5 linked regions of the Ovis aries genome follow. The protein of the gene in region 2 purifies or fractionates together with the protein of the main gene of each other region. This does not show direct contact. Links are inferred from orthologs where the notes say so. Each region holds a gene or a part of one and is shown on either strand. Other genes may lie near its edges. The genes, in order: UTRN, MARK2, FUCA1, ARHGEF2 and MTCL1.

Region 1 (4,258 bases), on a different chromosome or scaffold from region 2:
GACTGAACATGGGGAAGCTAGCAACCTCTCTGGAAAAATCTATTTAACAGCATTTATATGAACAACTTTCACAACAATTCCAAGGAATTCTACGAAGTGATCCTAAGGGCATATTAAGACACAAGCAAAAAGACATGCATAAGAGAATTTTAACAAGACAATATTTAAAAAAGCACAATAAAAGTGGAAAACTGACTTAAAAACCACAACAGATCATATAGTTTAATACCTGTTAAAAACCTTGTCAAAGGAGAATACACAAAACAATATAAAAATGTTGATACTTTAATATCACATACATATAAGAATATAAATACATGCCAAAATGTTAACAAATTATTTACAGGAAAAATAATCATTTTCTTCGTACTTTCTTTCAATCCTCCTCTTATGTCTCTTATATTACTCTTTTACATTTGTAGAAAAATCTCCTATAGAGCTACTGAAAAGACTAAATAAGTAAGCTTAGGTCACAAGGTAAGGAAGGCAAGAGTTAAAGCAAGATTTTTGTTTGTTTTCTTTAAGTTGCAAATAATCTAAATATATTCTTGGGCTATGAGAGATAGTTTGGCCTATTATATCAGATATTTTGGGATTCCCTGGTGGCTCAGTGGGAAGAATCTGCCTGCAAATGCAGGAGACCCAGGTTTGATTCCTGGGGCAGGATGATCCCCTATAGAAGGAAATGGTAACTCATTCTGGTATCCTTGCCTGGGAAATCCCATGGACAGAGACGCCTGGTGGGCTGTAGTCCATGGGGTTGCAAAGAGTCAGACAGGACTTAGCGACTAAATGACAACAACATCAGATATTTCAAAACAAAGCAAAGTTAGAGAATATTTACTTCCTACAAAAAAAGAGGACCCTCCTCTTAGATAATTTGAATACTTGAAACCTTTTCTCAAATGGGTTATTTTCTTTAATACTAATTTCTTAGATTCTCTCCTTCATTTGGACAATCATAAATAAGAACGAATGCTCAATCAAAGAAAAGTGATAAAACCATTTTTGTTTAATTTTTTTGTTGTATATACCATATAATTGAGGCTTCCCAGGTGGCGCTAGCAGTAAAGAACCTGCTTGCCAATACAGGTAGATAAAACAGACGTGGGTTCAATCCCTGGGTGGGGAAGATCCCCTGGTGAAAGGCATGGCAACCCACTCCAGTATTCTTGCCTGGAGAATCCCATAGACAGAGGAACTTGGCAGGTTACATTCCATAGGGTCGCAAAGAGTCGGACACGACTGAAGCAACTTAGCACGAGCACCATGTAACTATCTACCATTCAGCTACATATCTACAAGAAAATAGTTTTATATAAAAACATAATTACTTACTTTGGCACTTCTGATGTGTTGAGAGACTTTTTCAAAATTTCTGTTCAATTCAGCTAATTTTGGTTCTACAAGCTCCCGGCTTGAGCCTCCACGTGCACTCATCAAAACAACAGCTTGATCTCGGACGTTTTGTACTTGGAGATTGACATCATCCATCTCAGAGAGTAAACGCTAATTGTAAGAAAGCACGAAATAATCACATGGAAAAAATCAAAACCAAACATGGGTGCAGTGCTAACTGGGAAGTAAAGGGAGCTTAAACAAATGTCTGAGACTTCTAGTAAGAGACTTCTGTACCATCAATTTGAATAAGAGCTGTTCATATATTTAACGAGAGAGAGAGACAGAGACTCATTCATGCTATACAGGAAGCATTTTAAACTACTCCCAGTTTATATAAAACTTTACTTTATAATTGAATAGTCTATAAGATTTATTGTGTCATTTCCTCAACCATCTTATTCTAAGAATTGCAAAGTTTCTTGAGGCTGATAAAAGATTAAGTAGCAAGGAACAGACTTTAACTTCTTTTCCCCCTAGAAATCTTGTTTACCGCCATCCCCCTTTCCTTGGTGAAGGTAAACTGGTTTGGAAGGGAATTGAATATTACCATTTAGTTTTTAACTAAAATGTACAAGAACATTACGCAGTCTCCTCTGGCTAATTTCATAATGGTCATTAAATTCATTTTCAGGCCTAAGAAAGGGATGCAAATACCTGCCTCAATTCCTACTTCATTCATAAGTTTTTGAAGAGTGCTGGAATTCTCTCAGGAGTATGGCTATGAGTACTTTTTGAGTACCCGCTTATCTGTATGTATCTATAAATTCTGCAAATGTTTTCCTTGTGATTACAAGAATGAACGATACCACAAGGCACTCAGTGATCTAAGACATGGAGCCTAATCCACTGTTCTGAAGAATCTGTGCTTGTTATGGTGGCTGAGAGAAATTAAGTCGTTTGAGGAAGTAGTTTTTAAATTAGTGTATGCAGATAGAAACAGGAGAACATCAGCTTAACTATGGAACTTTTAGAATGTGTTGTCTTGCATCTAAATCTGATTGTCATATTAAAAAAAAAAAAACAGCCACTGCTTGTCTCAAATTTCGCTAGTTATGTAGAGATTCTTGAAATTCTCTTTAAGAAAAATCAAGCGGAAAGAAAGAAACACTTGGCAGATAGGTCTTGGCTTTCATGAAAAATTGTCTAAAGGTATGCTAAACATATGTTAGTGATCTAATAAATGTAATAAATTTAATAAATTCACTAAAAGTGTAGTCCAGGAAATAAAGAAAATGTAGTGAAGAAAGGAAACTATCTCATTCTTTAAAGGTTTATAGATGCATAATAAAACACTCTAAAATGGTTTTGTTTCATATAAACCATCTGGTGTGAAAAAAGCTCTGTAACATCTAAAGGACCTGAATCAATTGTTATTTTGCTGGCAACAGACACATTCTTTATTGTTTGCAGGTTCCTCATCAAATCTTTAATTATGCAGTGTTTCCTGGCATCGATAAACAACGTGAAGGGGAAAAAAAGATTCATTCAGTGATGTCTGCAAAATGTTTCGAGAGTATATTTGTAACCCAGAATTCAACTGTTCATCCATATCTGATGCGTCAGAGAGTTCCAAAGAAGGATTGGTGGGGCCTGAGCAGTAGATAGAAAAGATTTCCCAGGGGGAATTCTTAAAAGTTAGGTCTGACCTTCAACTTTGAAACAAAATGTAAAAACACAGGAAAGAATAAGGGCTACTCTTAGAAATTTTCTGAGACTCTGGAGTTCCCAAGACAACAAGTTCTTCTTTGCTTATCACCAGTGCATAAGAGTATCAAGAAGCTGAGCAAAGTGAAGAAGTCTGCCATACGGCACTTCTGAAAAAACATACTATCTTTTCTTTCACAGCAGATTCCTCTGAAAAGCTGGATCAGTGGGGAATACGTACCAAGAAATGAAAGCCAATTACTCATTATGAAGTCTGTTTTGCTCCAACTTTCTGTAGTGCCACCAAATTTTGCAAGTCATGAAAAAAATAACTAAAACTGCACTTCTGCTGTTAACTAATGATGCAGCATTCAACTATGCACCATGACAAAATGAAGTATTTTCTGTCTTCCCAGCTTATTAAATTACAATGGAAAAATTATGTTAACAGCCCCATAATGTGGCACTTTTAGATGCCAATTCTTACCTAAGAGGAATGGAACAAAAATTTAGCTAAGACAAAAACCAAAACAAACAAAACGACTCATTTTGTTTATCCCACCAACATAAAAGTTAATAAATCTGCACGAGAAACACATGTGTGCAAGTAACTTGGAATATTCATCAAGACAAAGGAGATAGCTAAACCTTCCATTCTCAGAAGTGTTACTGATCTGCTACCTTCACAATTTCTTCTCGTTTGCTTGCTGGCTTTTTTTCGATCTCATCCAATAGTGCTTCAGCTTGATAAAGCCAGGTGCTTATGTGAGCAACATTGCCATCAAATATTTCCAACTGGTTCTGATGGTTCTAGAAAGGAATTAATAAAACACTGATACAACCATATGAAATAATTAAGACAATAATCTTTGAAGACATTTAAAAGGTCTTCAAACACCTAAGTAATGCTGAATTTGAAGAAGAACTTCTACCTTCCTGCAAAGCTCTTCCGCAGTGGATAAATATCATTCCAAAAAATGCACAGCTGTAAAAGTGAAAGTTTTAGTCACTCAGCCGTGTCCGACTTTGCAATCCCATGGACTGTAGCCTGTCAGGCTCCTCTGTCCACAGAATTCTCCAGGCAAGGATACTGGAGTGGGTAGCCATTCCCTTATCCAGGGGATCTTCCCAACCCAGGGATCAAACCTGAGTCTCCCACATTGCCAGCAGATTCTTTACTATCTGAGCCACCAAGGAAGCACAGCTGTGGTTG
Region 2 (4,898 bases):
AACCACTTTAGTTAAACTCACAACACGACCAAGAAGAGCTTACTGGTCTCACCTGGTAGCATGATATAGTCCAAAAGAGGCCAGTGCTTCAGGCCTCTCTGGCCTTATGACTCGAAGAGCTGTTACATTTTTTTTTCTTGTTTTAAAAAATACCACATCTGCTTGTAAGGTTTTTCAAAATCTTTGTTTTTTCAAGGCGAAGACTTAATATCAAGTCCGTAGTGGGACTACCCTGAGAATAACAGCAGAAGCGATGAAGTGGCTCGGGGGAACCTAAATACACAGACTGGAAACAGGATGAGTAATTCATAATTTGGAGCAAGATGACAACGTATGCAGCCAGTTCTCTGGACAAAGTTATCAAGTAGCACCTTACATTCCCAAATGGTTCACAGAGTTCGGCTATCATAAAATCGGTGGGAGGCAAGCACCAGGTTCCTGCAACATGCTCAGGTGTGTGTGAGGCTTGAAGGGAAGAGAGGAAATCAATGCACACATCACAAGAAGACCGTGGCAAGAATACATGTACACCGAGTAAACAACACAAAGAAAGCACACTGAGGCACTCAGTTACTCTGCTCTGCTGAACACAATGCCCCCCACAGCCCTGCTGAGAGAGTAGGCACTCCACCGCCACGCCCCAGATGCCTGCGGGTGCCAGTCAGTCACTTGGCTTCCTCCTACCAGCTCAGACTCAACAGTCTGGGAAAGTCCTCTGGTTAAGCAGGGTTTATGTGCTAAATAAAGGTTGTGATAGGTAACCTCGAGAGGGCCTTGAGAAAGTGGTTCCCAGGAAGAAGAGAAACAGCTGGCATTTGAGGGCAAGACTGAGATGGAGACCATGCTCCTGTTTCTAAAGACCGCAGTCCCATGCCAAACCCAGTGATACAGTGGAACTCAACCATCTCGCCCTCTCAACCTGTTTCACCCCCTAGAAGCAGTCCGGCCATCCACAGGTTATGAAAGGGTCAACCACTGCAGAAAAAACTTATCCAGAACTCCTCTTAAGGTCCTGACTGTCCAGATGACAGAGACTGAGGGGCTAACAAAAGAGAAAAACACTGGAAAAATGAAAAGCGGAAAGATTTATTTTAAGATGTTAATGTTAATATGCAAGAGGTATTAATATGCAAGAGAATATAACAATGGTTCTATTGCACTAGCCAGAAAGAAGGGAACAAGAGGAAAACATAATGGATGCAACAAGAGAAAAGGACCCAAAAAAGCACTGCAAGCCCCAGGGGTGAAGAGCTCTTTTTTCAAGTTAATTTTTTTTTTTTTGCCTAGTAAAGTTCTCCACCAGGAAAGGTGTGACAGGCAGAGGACTCTCCAGAGCAGGCAGCAAGGGACACCAGAGATGGTGAAAGAAAGGGGAGGGGGGGAAAGTGGACGCCTCTCGGCTGCAAGGTGAGATGACACAGAAAGGCTAAGGCTTGGGTGACAAATGATAGCAGTGATTGCCAGGATGAGGGGAGAGGGAGCAGCTCAAGAAATCAGCATGCAAAATTCCTGGCCCTGGGAGTCACAAAGGCTAGCCGACCACAAGCGGATGGACAGGGGCATACGTGGGGGGAATAAATATGATGTGAAGAAGGCTGGCAAAGAGTACGGAGATGAAAGGCAATCCTGATCAAGAGGAATGGTACTAAGAAAGATGGGGTGAGGGCAGAGAAACGGGAAGGCAACAAGCAAAGGGGAAGATACTAAGAGACAGGGTCCTGAGTGAAGAAACAGGAAAGCATAACGGCCCGGCTTGTGTTATGGTGTAAGAAGACAGAACCGGGAGGACCAGGATGAAGCGAGGCCTGGGAAAGGACCGCGCAACAGGTGGTGTCAATGGAGCAGGGCTGAAATAGAGAGTCTTTCCCTCCGCAGGAAGAGCCCAGGGAGAAGGCTTGGTACAGCACTCGCAGTGAGAAACAGGAGGCCAAGCCAAAACTTAAAAAAACAAGCCCCAGGGGAAGAGAACGTGAGGGATCTCGGGAGCGTGAAGGGAGTGAAGACTGGAACCCCGAAGACAACCTGTGGGAAAACTATGCGCATGACAGCTGTACGGGGAAACACGGAAGCAACAAATGCCAGCGCGAGGCACCAGGGAGCTCCTGGAGAAGAGAAGGGAAAGTGATGAGCAAAGAGTAGGCGAGCGATTTGGAAAGGTGATGAGGGTGGAGCTGGTGGGTTGCAAGCAAGAGGGCGAGCACAATGTGGAACAGGAGGAGGCAGGGTAAAAAGCCGGGGAACTGACAGGGGACAGGGATCGAGGTCACAGTCCGGGGCAAGGACCCTGAGGGTGATAACTGGGACTGGGAGAACCGGTGCGGGCAGAGGGGAAGCGAGGCTGGAGAGATGGAGGAAGAGGTGGACAACGATCTGGGGCGAATCGCAGGGTGCTGGTCTAGGAGCAGGAAGGTGGCTGCTTTCAGCGTGGGTGGAGGAAGACCAAAAAGGCCCCTGAGAGAAAAAGGGAAGAGAAGAGGAAGCTGGGGAGGTAACACGGAAGAGCGCAGGAGGGCGGTGAAGGGAGAAGGGCCAGGGGGAGGGGGGTGGTCGGCAGAAAGACAAGTGTGCAGCTTGGAGTCCGGACGAGGTGGGTCCCCGGACAGGACGCGGAAGGGAGGTGTACGGGGCCAGGAGCCAGATGACAGGGCAGCCGAGGCTTACAGGCTGGCAGCCGGGGCACGAAGAGAGCTGAGGAGGGAGGAGGCTCTGCAAGGTGCAGGGGCCCAGCCAAAGAATGTGGGGAGCCCTCCGGGCTCCTTACCTGCTCGGTGTCCCTCTCGTTCAGCGTGGGTAGGGGGGTCCGAGCGCTGGACATGGCGCCGGTATCTCAAGGGAGGGAAACCGAGAAGCTTGGAGGAAGGGAGGGAAGGGAAGGCGCGGAGCCCGGCCGGGCGGGGCTTCTCACAGCAGGAGCACCCGCCGCATGGGCCCCGGCCGGGGGTGCGGGGAGGCCGGGCTGCCGTTCACGCCAGCCCGGGGATGCGCCGCTCGGGCTAGGCCGCGCCGGCTCCGAGCAGCTCCGGACCGCACCCCCCCGACCCCCGGCTGGGCCGTGCCGCCTTTCGGCCGGGCCGCGCCGCTCCGCCTACTTTCTGCCGCCGCAGCCGGCCGCCTGCCTCGCTCCTCCCCTGCCCTCAGCGGCACTGCTCCGCGCCCGGCACACAGGCAGCCGCCGCCGGACCTGCTGCTCCCAACATGGCCGCCACCACCGCCGGTCCTCGGCTCTTTCCGCCGGCAGCAGCCGGAAACATCCGAAGCGGCTAGAAACGGGAGGGAGGCGCTCCTTCTCCTCCCAGCCACCGACTACTGGTGAATTCCGGAAACACCCGAAGAAGGTAATCCTGGGGACGCGCGCTGCTCCGCGATTCCGAAGACCAAGCTTCGGCTCTGTTTACGGAAATCTACGAAGAGACTCCGGGTACTCCAGCCACGCCTACAGGCCTTTCCCCGCCCACTTCAAGCAGGTTTTCGGCAGTTTCCGGAAACACCCGAAGCCTCTCCGCGCGCTGGGAGCGGGCCACGCCCCCATCCCGCCCCGCCGCGGACGGCGGTCGTCGGCCATTTCCGGCAACACCCGAGATCGGGCGAGTCTCGGGTCATTCCCTCGGATGGTACCCAAAGTCTGACTCTTCGTTTCTTTCCGTCAGTTTTCGGGTATTTGCAAATCTTGACCAGGGAGCGTAGATCACGTGTGCGTGTTACTATTTGACTAAGTAGAAAATAAAACTGTTAAGCCCTGGTATTGACATCGTTTGGTTCTAAAGCAACTTCCTATCTGTGTGTCCGTTCCTCTTAGTCAGCTCATTAAATACATCTCGTTTATCATCCAGCCTATCTATCAACATGTGAGTCTCCTGTCAGATGCAGCGTTAGTCTATTACCTGTCTACCTACCGTTCATCACCTGTTGTTGTCCATCTTGGCTTCTATTTGTCTATCCGTGTACCCCACATCTAATCCACAGGGCTTCTCAAGGTCCCTGGCAAACACCAGGTAAACGTCCTTGGCTCCCAGCTGCCAAAGTCTTCAGAGATTCCCTCAACCCTGCATTCTACCTCTAGCTCTTTGCAGTGAAAATGCAATGGGATCTTGGGGAAAAAAATCACATAATATCTCTGTTTAGCTCCTCAATGTCCCTATCTTGAAAGAATCCATGCCTTTGTTCCCGTGATGACATTCTAAATAATATCTTTGGATTTGTACCTTTTTTATTTTTTTCTTTCAAAAAAAAGTCTTCTAATTGTTCAAAATAGCACAAAACGGCATTGCACTATGGCAATATTGAGTCATGCCAGTTCCCTTTTTAAATATCCCTCTGAGGTTGGGCAGGAGAGACATTCTCATCTTTAATCACATTTCACTTATCCCTTCTAAAACAAGGAAACTCATGGGGAAAATAAAAGAGAGAAACTGGTTGAAAAATGAGGATTCTTCAGGATGGCACAAAGAATGAACAACTGGAGGCGTTCCTTTCCTTTATGGGCCTGTTTTCCTATTAATGAATAGAGGTCACTATTCATAAGCTTGAGGTCCCTCTCATCTCTGGAGAGCCTCTTACTTTAACAGGAAGTCCATGTGGCAATCCAAGTTCACTCTTCACTTCCCCCTAGGTTACCTCACCAAGGACAGTGAATAGACCGGCAGGTGTGATTCCTCTGGCTGTCCCCACCCATTGTACCCCAGACATGTTGGAAAACCATCCCTCAAAGCTACCCTAGGTTCAACAGCAGTTTAAGGTAGACAGAAGCCAGAATCCCCACAAGACCCAAAGACCAACCTCAAGCAGCGAGTCTGCAGAAGGTACAGAGAGAGGCCCAAGAGCTTGCAGGAAAAGAGTGTGGATTGGACCTCTGACACTTGACTTCCAACTCCAGCTCCAGCATTTTGAGCAGAACCCTT
Region 3 (4,258 bases), on a different chromosome or scaffold from region 2:
TCAATTCTTTGGCCTGCCTTCTTTACAGTCCAACTCTCACATCCACACATGACTACTGGAAAAACCATAGCTTTGACTAGATGGACTTTTGTTGGCAAAGTAATTTCTCTGCTTTTTAATATGCCGTCTAGGTGTGTCATTATTTTTCTTCCAAGGAGCAAATGTCTTTTAATTTCATGGCTGCAGTCACCACCTGCAGTGATTTTGGAGCCCAAGAAAATAAGTCTGTCACTATTTTCATTTTTTCCCCATCTATATGCCATGAAGTGATGGGACCAGATGCCATGAACTTAGTTCTGTGAATGTTGAGTTTTAAGCCATCCTTTTCACAAGCTGCATGGCACAGCCAAAAAAATGCTTGAGGGGAAAAGAGCCAGGATTCAACTACGAATCTGCCAGACGCCAAACCCTCTGTAGGGTCCATTAGACCATGTTGCCCTTCTCCAAGCTCCTGACAGAAAGTGGTATGGAAGGAGTTACCTGAGGTTTTGACTTACTACCATCCTCAGTTCTGTTTCAGTTTATAAAAGCAGCATGACCATACTATGGAAGTTTTGAAAAGAAAAAAGAAAAAATATACTTTGTCTTAACACAATGATTACTCATTACTGTTTTGATGTCTTCTAGAGTTTTTTCATATTCCACCCCTACCCCTTTCCCCTCAACAGTATAAGCAGCTCAGATGTCACTGATGAAAGTCATAAGGCTAAAACAATTTCTGTTTTGTACCTGTTAACAAGGTCATAGAGTTCTGGCATTGTTTTTGCATGGACGAAGGACTGTGTTTTGAAGCCGTTTTCCTTATCACGTAGGTAGAGAGGATGGAACCATTCTAAAAGTGAATGATATAGTCCATAGCGTATGTCCCTGAAACAGAAAAACAGGACAGCAACTGTCATTAAGCAAAGAAAAAATATTTTAAGAAAAATCAGTTGCCAGAATTTTTACATCTCAGTGAAATTTATCCATAGGGCATACAGGGGTCAGGACCCACAGCCAGTTCCTTAAATTATCTCTTATCATTCACTTAAGCAAAATGATTGGCTTACTTTGTTTTTGATGATATAAATAACAAATTAGGCTTCCCAGGTGGCGCTAGCGGTAAAAAACTCATCTACCAATGCAGGAGACACAAGAGAGACAGGTTCTATCCCTGGGTCAGGAAGATCCCCTGGAGGAGGGCATGGCAATCCACTCCAGTACTCTTGCCTGGAGAATTCCATGGACAGAGGAGCCCGGCGGGCTACAGTCCATGGGGTCACAAAGAGTTGGACATGACTGAATTGACTTAGCAGATAACAAATTATCTTTATACATAAATTATCTTGACACCAAAATGTTATTTAAACCATTTTCTGTCTTTTGAGTCAATTATCTCAATAACTTATAGTACTATTAAAAATGTTTTCTGTTAATCATAATACATATTGAAGAGATACTGGAAAATAGAGACAAATACCAAGAATATCCAAAATCTCATCACTCAGAAAGAATCACTAGTACCATTTTCTGTGCAGTTGAAATTAATGAATATAGGTTTATTGTTTCATATAAGATTTACTAATAGTTTTTAATATACCTGAAACAAAATATGGTTAAATTTACCTATTTTCATATACAATAAAACTTGTGAATTAAGAAGAGTGAGTGTTTTGGAAATGCTATAATACAAGAAGTAACGATAACATTTGCAATGGCATAGATAAAGCAGAAAGAACTGAAGTTAAGAATTTCATTATGTGATTCAGTGACTGACTAGATACAGAGAAGGTGAAAATCAAGGCTCTTAGAATTCAGATCTAATCAATGTCTCAGACTTTTACAGCAGGACTATTATCAGCAGAGCACAGCATTGGGAACCTGAATGTTTCACAGGTGACATAAGTCAGCAAATGCTTTCTTAAATGACCAGATAACTTTGAGGCTTTGTAGGCCTTGCTATCCGAGAAGGTGATGGCACCCCACTCCAGTACTCTTGCCTGGAAAATCCCATGGACGGAGGAGCCTGGTAGGCTGCAGTCCATGGGGTCGTGAAGAGTTGGACACGACTGAGCGACTTCACTTTCACTTTTCACTTTCATGCACTGGAGAAGGAAATGGCAACCCACTCCAGTGTTCTTGCCTGGAGAATCCCAGGGACGGGGTAGCCTAGTGGGCTGCTGTCTATGGGGTCGCACAGAGTTGGACACGACTGAAGTGACTTAGCAGCAGCAGCAGCAGGCCTTGCTATGTCTACCCCAACTCTGCAATTAGAGCTTGAAAGTAGCCAGAATCAATCCCTAAGTGAATGAACACAACTGTATTCCAATCAAACTTTATTTATACAAATAATTAGCTGGTCTACCCCTTAAACAGGACTTCAAGTTTGCCAAATCACAATAGAGCTGAGTGGGCATGACACAAATACCACTTTTCCTCCTTACAGGCAAATATACTCAGAACAATAGGGTCCAAAATCAGAACACCTGGGTTCAAATCCCACTTCTGCCCCTTCCCAGCTCTTTGACCTTGGGAAGTTACATCTTAAGTGGCAGATATTAGAAAATATTACCTAGAATCACGAGTGATGCCTTACCTCCCTTTTTGTTGCTTTAACTGCCCTCTTCAGCTCTCTCCTCATTTACCCCCCATCTAAACCTTCCAGGAAAGCCTACAAAGCTCTGGGTTGACAGCTAAGGACACAAAGATGAGACACAACCCTGGCCTCCACCAGACACTGGGAAAGGCCCTAGGCTGGAAGGCTTCCCAGAGAGAATCCTTTGCAGAGCACAAGTGCAGCGCTGTGGTCTATGCTGGGTATCCTTCACCAAACCAGAGACGGCCGTGCACTTCTCTGATGCCGTCACTTCTGGTCACATGGAAACTGCCAAGGTTCAAACACTGCCAATTCAGGGCCAGAAGCCCTCCCATGTACCGGTTAAGTGCAAACTTAGAAAACACAGAAGTGTAGGGAAGGCACGGGGTACTGGGTGGTTAGATCAAAAGCGATGATGGGGTGGCTGTCCGTGGACACGCACCTCTTCCGGATGGCTGTTCCCAACTCACCAACCAAATCACGATGGGGTCCCACATCCTTAGAGTTCCAGTTCCAAGACACAGGGCTTGGCCAGTTTGTGTAACCTTCGTGATGCTTTGTCGTCAGGACTACATACCTGTGGACATTGAAACCATATGAGCCAAGGAAGTGGGCAGTGGGCCATGAGCACCAACTTACCTGGCACGCCTGAGGCTTTTAAAATGGTTGAGGGAACTCAACTACAGGAAATGTACAGCTGACCCTTGAACAACATGGCGGTTAGGGGGTGGTTAGCAGGTGTCTGCTGACCCCTGCGCAGAAGGAAATCCATGTGTAACTCTTGACTTTGCCCTAACTACTAATAGCCTACTCTTGACTGGAAGGCTTACCGATAACATAAATGGTCGAATAACACCCATTTTGTATGTTATATGTATAATCTGCTGTATTTGTACAATGATGTAAGCTAGAGAAAAGAAAATGTTAAGAAAATCAAAAGGAAGGGAAAATGCATTATAGTACTGCACTGCATTTATTTTTTTATTTTATTGGAGTATAGTTGCTTTACAATGTTGCGTTAGTTGGAGATTGGGCAGAGTACTGTATTTATTGATACCAGAAGTTTACATTGTCTGTTTACAAGATGAACCACCTGTCAGTATCTACAGCAATACTGTCTTACATGATACAAAACACTGCAGACGTTAGCTGTTACTAACGCTAAATATCAAAGCTGGAAAGCTACTGTGAAAAAGCAATTCATATTTATTTGTAGTTATAATGATTCATTCATTGATAATGAAGAAACAGCCACATGATTGCTTTATAGTAGCCTAATGCAATCAATATGATGGCTTCATGATAGCATAGCTTATACACTGATGAATGAATCATTATAATTTTTTTATGGCATATGGTATTACACTCATATTCAAAATATGGGATTGGAAACATTGTTACATTTTTTAAAAAGTCACTTGAATGTGATGATAGGTTGAGTTTTGGGTTTTTTTAATTGGAGGCTAATTACTTTACAATATTGTAGTGGTTTTTGCCACACATTGACATGAATCAGCCATGGGTGTACATGCGTTCCTCATCCTGAAGCCCCCTCCCACCTCCCTCCCCACCCCATCCCTCAGGATCAACCCAGTGCACCAGCCCTGAGCACCCTGTTTCATACATCGGTTGAGTTTCGCTGAAAGTTTTAATTTTGTTTTAGGTTTGAAGGATTTGTTAACA
Region 4 (4,258 bases), on a different chromosome or scaffold from region 2:
TGAAACTGTACTGCTGACTGGCAGGCATGCCGGCACGTGCCAACTTAAAGTATTCCTTTGGCTTGTCAGCTCATGGTGCATTCAGAAGGCGGTTGGGGTTGTCACTGTATAAAATGCAACTTTACCGGGCAAGAGAACATAAATGACCTTGCCTGCCTTGGGCCATCTTGTCTCTCTCCTGGCCTCTCCTTCCACTTCTGAACCCTGGGTTCTGTTCCCTGGGAGTGCTGTGGTCCAACGCCCCAAACTGCAGGAACCACAAGTCCATGCACACACTCACACTCGCACACTCTGCTGAATGACGCGGATCCAGGTGCTCCGGTCATCCCGGGATGCCGTGTGGACCTCGTACATCTCAGGGGGTGCCGCACTGATCAGAAACATCCCTTTCTCCTGGTTAGCGATGTCCCGCACGATGAGATTCTGCAGTGACACCACCGAGGGCTTGTCCTGCCAATTGGGGCACAGGAAGGATTAAAGCTGGGAATCCTGACCCCTGGATATTTGAGTCTTCAGTCCTCCTGGAGTATCCAAAGGATTGAAGAGTCAGCCGAGAATATAAGTTAAGAGCTCAGACTCTGGTGCCAGCCAGAGTGGACTTAGAGAAACGTCTGTGACCTTTGACAATTTAATTAACTTTAAGCTTTACTTTTCTCATCTACAAAAAGAGGATAATCATGTGCCTTCCTAACACGTGTAAAAAAAAGTGGCTGCATATAGTAACAATATGCGTTGGCTCTTCTTATTCCTTCTGATCATATTTATATGCATTGGCTCTTCTTATTTTTCCTGATTATATTACGGCAGTGGTTACAATAATAGCTATTTGATGTTGGAGGATTTCCTGGCCAGGGTAGGAAAGTAAGAAGGGTCTGAAACACTTGTCTATGCTGAGAAAGAAGGTGGAAGGTCTCACCAGGGCAGGAAAGATGTACTTCTGGTCCTTCTCTTGGAGAAACACCAGCACATCTGTCATCAGCAGCATGAGCACATCTGGCAGGGGGATGGAGGCAGGAGGAGAGTCAGCGTTAGAGGATGCGAGCAGCTGTTTCCCTTTCCCCGACCTCTCTCCCTCTGGTTGTTTCCTCCCCCTTCGCAGACCTCCCACCTCTCCCCATTCCTACAGCTCAGAAACGGTGGGGGGCGGGGGGGACACATGTGTCATCAGACAAAACAGTTTCTTGGGCTAGAGATGCCTATAAGCAATCACCCAGTGGCCTTGAATAAAAGCCTCTTTATCCAATGAATGCTCCTTAGCCTGTGGTCTGCCGACACCTAGGTTGTCTGCTATCACGCTTCAGAGGCTCTGTAGATCCTCTAAAGTTCCATAAGCAATTTTTACATATTAATCTATCACACGTGTGTTTTTCTGTGTGAAAGGGTCCAGAATTCTTGTGAGGGTAAAACGACTCCCAGAGCCTTTCAGTTCCATGTTGAACAACTGACATAAGATCTTTTTGGATATTTGGTCTAAGATTCCCCCCATGCCAGCATATTCCCCACTTCTTATTTTGTGCTCCATGGGGAGGGGAACAGTTAGGTTCCTTATTCATTTCTCCCACTGTTGAACAATCCCAATCTCCTTCAACAACAGCAGGCCCTGCTTTCATTTTCCTTTTCTGCCCCACCTTCAAGGCCCTCACATTCTACGGGGTCCTGTGCTTTAAGACTTGGGGGAGACAAAGGTCAACCCATGAAAGTCAGATGTCACAGTCAGGAAAACACATGCATCCTCTGCCCTTGGAGATCTTTCTAAGTTGTGGGCACACAGAAGGGGAGGGCTTCTGCTAAAGGCTTCAGAAATAAAGCTCTTCAGCCTTGCTATTTTTAACCCCCCCATGGTTTATATTCTTAGCTGCTGCGTGGGAGGGATGGGAAGGAGAGAAAGGGATGGAGGAAAGTGGCTGGCAAAGCCTGCAATACTCAAGCCTATGGAGTGGGGACTTCACGACACGGGACAGAGGTGCAGGCAAGCTCTGGCCTCAGGTAGCATTCCTCACACCTAAAGCTGAGGTCTGCGACTCTTCTGCTTTGATTTAGGTAGGCAAGCCTTGCCCAGTATAGTCTGGGAAGAGAGGCTGGGACAGTGCGCCCCGCCCTGAACACACCTTCCCTGCAGTCTTTTCTCTTCTCCACTTGGCCCGCCCTTCCCTGGGCTCCACCCCCTCCAAGGGCCTTCCTCAGCTGTGTTCCCAAAGTGCCTGCCCATTCCCCAGCCCTAGTGGCTGGGACTCCAGCTGGTAGAACCAATTACCAGGGGCTAGTCCTCTAATCCTGGAATTTCTCTGTTTTTCTCATCAAAATCGGTAGCTTTCTGGGCATGCAAGGACCAAAGGAATGAACAAATCCTGACAACGAAGTCCTTGTATCGCCCATGAAATTAAATCCAGAATTCTGACTTTTGTTACAACAGAGCTCACATATTTTCCTCCCACTGGGTCTCACCAGGGCTACATTAAAAGAGGTCCTATGGGCTTGGAGGCTTCTCCCTCTGGCCATGGACTCTTGCCTGGTCTGCCAAGCTGTCCACTGACCTTTGAAGCGCCCAGTCGCAGTCTTCCAGAGCAGGCAGCCATCGTGAATGAGCTTGCGCCGCAGGAGCTCCTCTCGGCCAAAGGGGCCCTTGCCGGGAACCGGGGCCTGGGCCCGAGGGTCCATGCGGTTGTAGATCTCCTGCAGGCGGGCCCCTTTCTCCAGCTCGTGCACATCCTGGTCCACGTTGGACAGCAGCTCCTTCACCAGCCCCAGGGCCGTGGTCAGGTCCTGGCGCTCCTCCTCCATCCCTGACACCGAGGTCGGCGTGAGGAAGGGGTGGCCCAGCCAGCTTCACGCCAGTCCCCAACCCACTGATCTCAATGCCGCCTTCAGAGGCTGCCCAGGGTTCCATATGTGACCCTCTTCCTCCCGGTGGTTGTCCAGGGCCACGCCTCACCCCTGACAGCCCTCTCCCTCCTCCTCCCGCCTGGACTCGCCCTCTCACCGTGGGAATGCTGCAGGATGCGGTTGATGAGCACTGGGTACTTGGTGATGCGCTGAGTCACTAGCAGAATGCACTCTTGTACCCCATGCCGCTTCAGCACCGCCGAGCGGGTCACTTTCTACAAAGCGAGGTCAGGGCTCAGTGCCAGAGGGGCACCCGCGGGGAGGGCACCAGAAAGGACGCTGGACTTGGAGCCTAAGCCCTGGTGCCTGCCTGCACTTGGTCATTTACCTCATGCTGGCTGGCGGGAGGTTAATGACTCTGGAAAATGGGGCCGACAAGGTCACAGGTTTACTGTGAGGACCCAAGGAGCGAGAGCACTCGCTCTACCCCTGGAAAAACGAGCAGCTGTGTCCACTAGGGCTGGGGCACTACAGGAGGCGGAGGGTGGGTCTTGGAGAGGTTTGCTCACCCGGATGAACTGCTGGAAGCGTTTGTCTCGGGCATACAGCTCCTTATAGAGTTTTAAGGCCTTGGTGTGGCGGCTACAGAACTCTGAGTAGGTCTTCCGCATCTGCTCTGCGCTAGGACCTGAGAACTAGAAGTTGGGGGAGCAAGGCTGGGTCAGCATGTCCCCCAAAGTCACCTCTCATCCCCAATGCCCTCTCGCCTCCTGCCAAACAGGCTGGCTTCCTGCCTTTCCAACTCTCTCTGCCCCACCCCCCAGAGTCTGGAGATGAGAAATGCCCACTCTAGTCACACCCCCGCCCAAGACTGCTGCCCAGGGCTCCTGGCTTTTCTCACCTGGCTGATGAGCAGGTCCCCCAAGCGATGGATGACGAAGTTCCGGGTGCTACCAGGGCATAGGGCATGGCGCCGGCGATCCAGCAGCTGGCTGAGGAAGCGCGTGTGGATGTCAGTGAGCTCGTCCACACAGGGGAACAGGCCCTGGACCACTCCTGGCTCCAGCTGCAGCTCTTCCAGCATGCCCGTGCGGAAGAGGCGGGTCATGATCTTCAGTGTCCGCACGTGGTGCAGCTCTGTCTGGATCAGCTCTGTGGGGACGGTGGAACACCCGGCTTGGCCACAACTGGTGGGGCCAAGGCTGGAGACCTCAGGCTTATTAGAGGTTTTCAGTTTCCCTTCCAGGCTAATATTCTGCGTTATGATCTTAGATCATTTTTCTAATCATTTATCTTTATGCCTTGCCATCTCAAGGCAGAATGAGGCTGTGGAGACAGGCAGGGGAAGGGGCTAAGAGGGGCTCACTCTTGCCATCTCAAGGTATAAAGTCAAAAACTATGTGTTCCTTACATGCCTAGACTTCCCACAGTCCCC
Region 5 (4,258 bases), on a different chromosome or scaffold from region 2:
GTCTGGCAGGCCGTGTCCTTGACCAGTGGCTCCCCGGGGCTGGAGCAGACGGTGCTCCTGACTGAGAAGGCTACCTCCTTCATATCATCACTCAGGTTTCTGGGCATTTCCAGGCTGTGCAACGGGGAGAAGCTGAGAGTGCTGTCGAGGGGCCGGAGTCCCCCCTCCGTGTAGTCTCGGGGGTGCCTGGAGGGGGCACAGGGCCACCTGCTGAGCACATGTTCAGAAGGGCTTCCCTTGGCATCCGCAGGGCCCCCTCGGACCCTGCTCTCGCCGACCCCTGCCACAATGCCATCCAGCCTCCGGATGGCAGGTGGGCTGTGCAGCCCCCTCCCCCCAGCCTGCTCAGCACAGACGAAGTTCCGCAGGGGCTGCTTCTGGCAGTGCTCGGGGTTGGTCACGGTGTCCGTGGTCAGGGTGATGCTTGTGGTGAGGTACCAGGCGGCATCAGAGAAAGGTTCGGTGCTGGCCTCGGGCCGTGTCCGCCCCACCTCGGTCCTGTCCGCCCAGGGGTCTAGAGGCCTGTCGTCCCAGCTTTTGCTGTTGAACTCCTCGATGTACTTGAGGTCATCAGGGGACAAGGGTGGGGTGACGTCCTCCTTGCTGCATGTGGGGGGCAGGCCCTTCTCTGGCAGGAAGGGAGAGCCATCCATCAAGCGCTGGAACTCAGACATGGACGACACAGACACGGCCCTGGGGAAGGGGAGAGGAGCGGTGTGAGCTGTCACCAGCTAGGGAGCCATGGCCCCGAGACCCCCAACCCAGCACAGCCCACGGCCTGCCCATGTGCACTGTGCTGACGGTCTCTGCTCGGGCTGACCCTTTGGGTTTTTATGGCTCTGAAATTGATGCAGGAGCCTTGGACTGGTCAGAATTTACTACGGCTGACTCTCAAAACTGTGGGGGTGGGCGTGGTGCTCCAGGGTAGTTGGAGTTGAGCTCCAAGTCCCTTCCGCACTGTTTTGTTCTCAGCCTGCAGCAGCTCCACAGGAAGACGGGAAGCCTGGCTGTGGCCTGGCCTCTCCGTCTACTGACAAGCACCCTTGATGCCAAATCTGCAGGAGTTTCCTGAGTTCTCGCCTTAGAGCAGACGTGACTACACCACAGTCCAACCCAGATACAGGCGTGGCAGGGAGGAGGAGAGGCCACCACAAAGTAACTGTCAGCTGATGTCCCCTCTACCCGCTCGCCTCACCTCTGTCAGCTCAAGCACTACCAGTCTCCCAAGGGCAGTGGACGGGGTGTTCAGGCTGGTGCATGATCCCAACACCATTTCAAACAGACGTCCCCTCTGGGCTCACTCCTCCCCTTGCCTTCTGCTCCATTTAAACAAATTTGCTTATATGGGCCTTTTCAGACATGTCCCACCCTTACATATGTGGGTTACTAGAAAATGATTACAAACACCAGCTACTTTATATTTACTTCAAGGATTACTCTTGGTAATACTGTAATAAGTCCTCCTAGGAGAGCTTTTAAACGGTCAGTCTAAAATGTCTCATAGCATATCAAGAGAGAGTTTTTTCCAGGCTTTAAATCAAAAGAGAGGGGTTTCCATGAACTTTTCAAAAACCATTTAACACAGTTATCCCCTTAAATACACAGCTCTTGCACAACAGTAACACATATGAACACGGTGCTGGCCTTTTCGTTGTTAACGATCTAAATACCGTATAATAAAGCAACTACTTCTCCACAAGTTTTACTCTAAGTCATTTTTGAAGAGAGTCACAGTGCACTGCTGACTATAGATAGATAGACTTTTAAGACCAGGAGGTCTTTCCTGCAGTAGTCTATTGTCATTTCATCAACCTTACTTACCTTTGAAGATTTCCCTTGTGGTTGTCTTCTTCCTGTAAAGAAGAAAATAAGTTCACTGGAATCAGTCAGTACTGGCAGATTTGGGGCTGCTAAGGGGTCTGTTTTTCTCTTAAAACGTACGTGGAAGCCAAGTTTGGGCCAGGAGTGCCTCTGCCCCTCAGCCCTTGGAAGGTCAGTAATGACACCAGAATCCAGAGGCGATGAGGGAGGGCCTACGTGAGTGAGAAACACTGGCAGTAAGCTTTGCCCCAAGGCAGCTCTTCTGTGTTTCTCAGAGGGCAGTGCTGTGTGTGAGGGCCTCAAAGCTGCCTCATTAATGACATGTGTGTGAGAGAGAGTGCGTGCAAGTGAGAGAGGAGGAGTAAGGGTTGGGAGGAGGGTAAGTCGGGGTAGACGTCCCCTGGCCTCAGCCTGACTAGAGAAGTCAGCGTGAAAGGCACAGACATGACATAGAAAATAAACAAGCTACAGGATATGCTGAATGGCACAGGGAATGCTGCCAGTATTTTATAATAACTGTAAATGGAGTATATAACCCGGAAGAACTGAACCACTAGGTCGTACACCTGCAACTTAACATTGTACGCCAACTGTACTGCAATAAAAAATGAAAGAAAAAAAAAGTGTGATGTCCTTAGATAGAGCGCTCTTGGTGTTTAAACGTCGCCCTTGAGCATTGGGAAAGCTATAGTGACTTCCACTAAAGAGAACTGCATACATGGTTCTCCTGAGCAGAGGATACCCTTGTGCGGACCCAGTCCAGATGGAGTGAGGCCCCAGCCAGCAAACCCCTCAAGGATCCCCCAGAGAGCCCTGGCTACTGCACTGGTCAGCATGGGGTCGGGACACTCCCACTAGAGACCCCTAGGGTGGCATGCTGGTGATGTCACCTCTGCTGGGGTTCAGGTGCCGAGGAGGAGGTCCCCACTTCCAGCAGCACTGCCTGACGGGCACCCCCATCTGCTGAGCATGTGGGACAGGTCAGATGACAGGTGCAGCTACTGTGAGACCAGCACACAGGGAATGATTATTAAAATTAGTCTTTAGGAAAACCCACTGCCATCCTGTAGGGATTTCTGCACAGAGCTAAGCTTTCCCCTTTACTGATCTAAGTCCCATAGCTTTCTAGTGTTGGATTTTTTCCCCCTCTTTACATAAAGAAGGTATTTATTGTATGTCATTGGTTACTGACATTTGCTACTTCCAATGTGAAGTACTTTCTTTAAAAAAAGACTTTTCTGTTATTAATATGTTTTCTGAAATCAGAGACTGTGCTGTAATTTTAAGGAAATCAGCAGTTCTCCACTTCTGGGATCATCTTTTTCCTCCTGGATTTCACTGGACGACTCCTGCTCCTGAGACTCCTATTCACATGGGACACAGGCTCTGAATTTCTGACCTTGAGATTAAGCGGCCAAGTGCAGCAGGAAGCCTGGGGTCAGGACCACCTCAAAGCTCTCACATCATGGAAGGTTCACTTTTACTAACCTCAGGGCCACAATATGCAGAGCCTGCAATGCAGCCTGTCAGCTACTCAGCCAGCTTCCCAACCCCTCACCCTCCTTTGCAGGTGACTAGACCCAAACCCAAGCTGACCTCATGGAAGCAGTTCCTGAACTCCCTCTGGGGCCCGTGGGCCGGGGGCTCCTCTGGCTCATCATCCAGGGACAAGGTGTCCAGGTAGAGATTTTCCCGTGCTGAGCACCTGTCCGATTCCTTCAGCTTTGACAGCGGCCGGTCCTCAAACGCATTGGAGTCTGTGTCCATACAGGGCCACATCCCTGTAGGGCGGGGCGCCCGAGGGCTCCCTGGGTGGGTACAGGAGCCGGCATCCCCTTCCTCTTGATCACAGAGGAAACTGCCACCTCTCCGGGGACTGTTTTCTTTCTGCAACTTGAGGGTTTTAAAAGTGAAAACAATTAGCCTGAAGATAGACATCTTATGTTCTTAAAGTTCTGGCATCGATTTAAAAAATAACACCACAAGTGCTTTAAAAAAAAGTCACAATTTTGGAAAATTATCTGGACTAGAAATATCTGCATTAACCACAGGCAAGTCAGCTGCTTCTGTAGCGAATGTTATTGTATGTATAACTGAGTGCTGTGCTCACAGGAAATCACACATTTGTTTTTAAAATCTAACATTGCCAAATGACACATTGAGAAATCCCTTTTTGTAGTTACCTTCTGAATGTAAGACACATTCAGTGGAAAGCCATCAGTGACAGCAGACTTCTGGGGTGAATTTGGTTTTCTTAAATAGCAAGGTTTCCTAACAACAGAGCATGGTGTCCAAGTTATTTGGAATAGGTCCTACATAAACCTTGCGTGATCGCCTGGGTTACAACCACTGGGTGTTAAAAACAGCTCACACTTTGCTTGAGAGGATGAAAATTTAGCTACCGAGGTAACCTGAAGATCTTGTATGACTAAGAAGT

Evidence for each region.
Region 1: the proteins of MARK2 (region 2) and UTRN purify together in Homo sapiens (affinity purification with mass spectrometry; 4 studies listed by BioGRID and IntAct, with this or other methods). This does not show direct contact. The link is inferred for Ovis aries from reciprocal best matches to the Homo sapiens genes MARK2 and UTRN.
Region 3: the proteins of MARK2 (region 2) and FUCA1 purify together in Homo sapiens (affinity purification with mass spectrometry; 3 studies listed by BioGRID and IntAct, counting the BioPlex papers as one, with this or other methods). This does not show direct contact. The link is inferred for Ovis aries from reciprocal best matches to the Homo sapiens genes MARK2 and FUCA1.
Region 4: the proteins of MARK2 (region 2) and ARHGEF2 purify together in Homo sapiens (affinity purification with western blotting; 3 studies listed by BioGRID and IntAct, with this or other methods). This does not show direct contact. The link is inferred for Ovis aries from reciprocal best matches to the Homo sapiens genes MARK2 and ARHGEF2.
Region 5: the proteins of MARK2 (region 2) and MTCL1 purify together in Homo sapiens (affinity purification with mass spectrometry; 5 studies listed by BioGRID and IntAct, with this or other methods). This does not show direct contact. The link is inferred for Ovis aries from reciprocal best matches to the Homo sapiens genes MARK2 and MTCL1.

Annotation. Positions count from the first base shown.
Region 1 is NC_056061.1:69,060,105-69,064,362, reverse strand, and holds part of UTRN (utrophin), read right to left. Parts: intron 3,856-4,258; coding exon 3,727-3,855; intron 1,510-3,726; coding exon 1,339-1,509; intron 1-1,338.
Region 2 is NC_056074.1:38,652,456-38,657,353, reverse strand, and holds the start of MARK2 (serine/threonine-protein kinase MARK2), read right to left. Parts: upstream 3,214-4,898; 5' UTR 2,816-3,213; coding exon 2,762-2,815; intron 233-2,761; exon of another isoform or gene 53-232; intron 1-52. UniProt on the Homo sapiens protein: Serine/threonine-protein kinase. Involved in cell polarity and microtubule dynamics regulation. Phosphorylates CRTC2/TORC2, DCX, HDAC7, KIF13B, MAP2, MAP4 and RAB11FIP2. Phosphorylates the microtubule-associated protein MAPT/TAU.
Region 3 is NC_056055.1:242,805,589-242,809,846, reverse strand, and holds part of FUCA1 (tissue alpha-L-fucosidase), read right to left. Parts: intron 3,153-4,258; coding exon 3,018-3,152; intron 868-3,017; coding exon 730-867; intron 1-729. UniProt on the Homo sapiens protein: Alpha-L-fucosidase is responsible for hydrolyzing the alpha-1,6-linked fucose joined to the reducing-end N-acetylglucosamine of the carbohydrate moieties of glycoproteins.
Region 4 is NC_056054.1:105,990,169-105,994,426, forward strand, and holds part of ARHGEF2 (rho guanine nucleotide exchange factor 2), read right to left. Parts: intron 3,976-4,258; coding exon 3,725-3,975; intron 3,519-3,724; coding exon 3,393-3,518; intron 3,099-3,392; coding exon 2,981-3,098; intron 2,784-2,980; coding exon 2,535-2,783; intron 994-2,534; coding exon 917-993; intron 451-916; coding exon 281-450; intron 1-280. UniProt on the Homo sapiens protein: Activates Rho-GTPases by promoting the exchange of GDP for GTP.
Region 5 is NC_056076.1:41,731,755-41,736,012, reverse strand, and holds part of MTCL1 (microtubule cross-linking factor 1), read right to left. Parts: exon of another isoform or gene 3,715-4,258; coding exon 3,418-3,714; exon of another isoform or gene 1,854-3,417; coding exon 1,822-1,853; exon of another isoform or gene 973-1,821; intron 694-972; coding exon 1-693. UniProt on the Homo sapiens protein: Microtubule-associated factor involved in the late phase of epithelial polarization and microtubule dynamics regulation.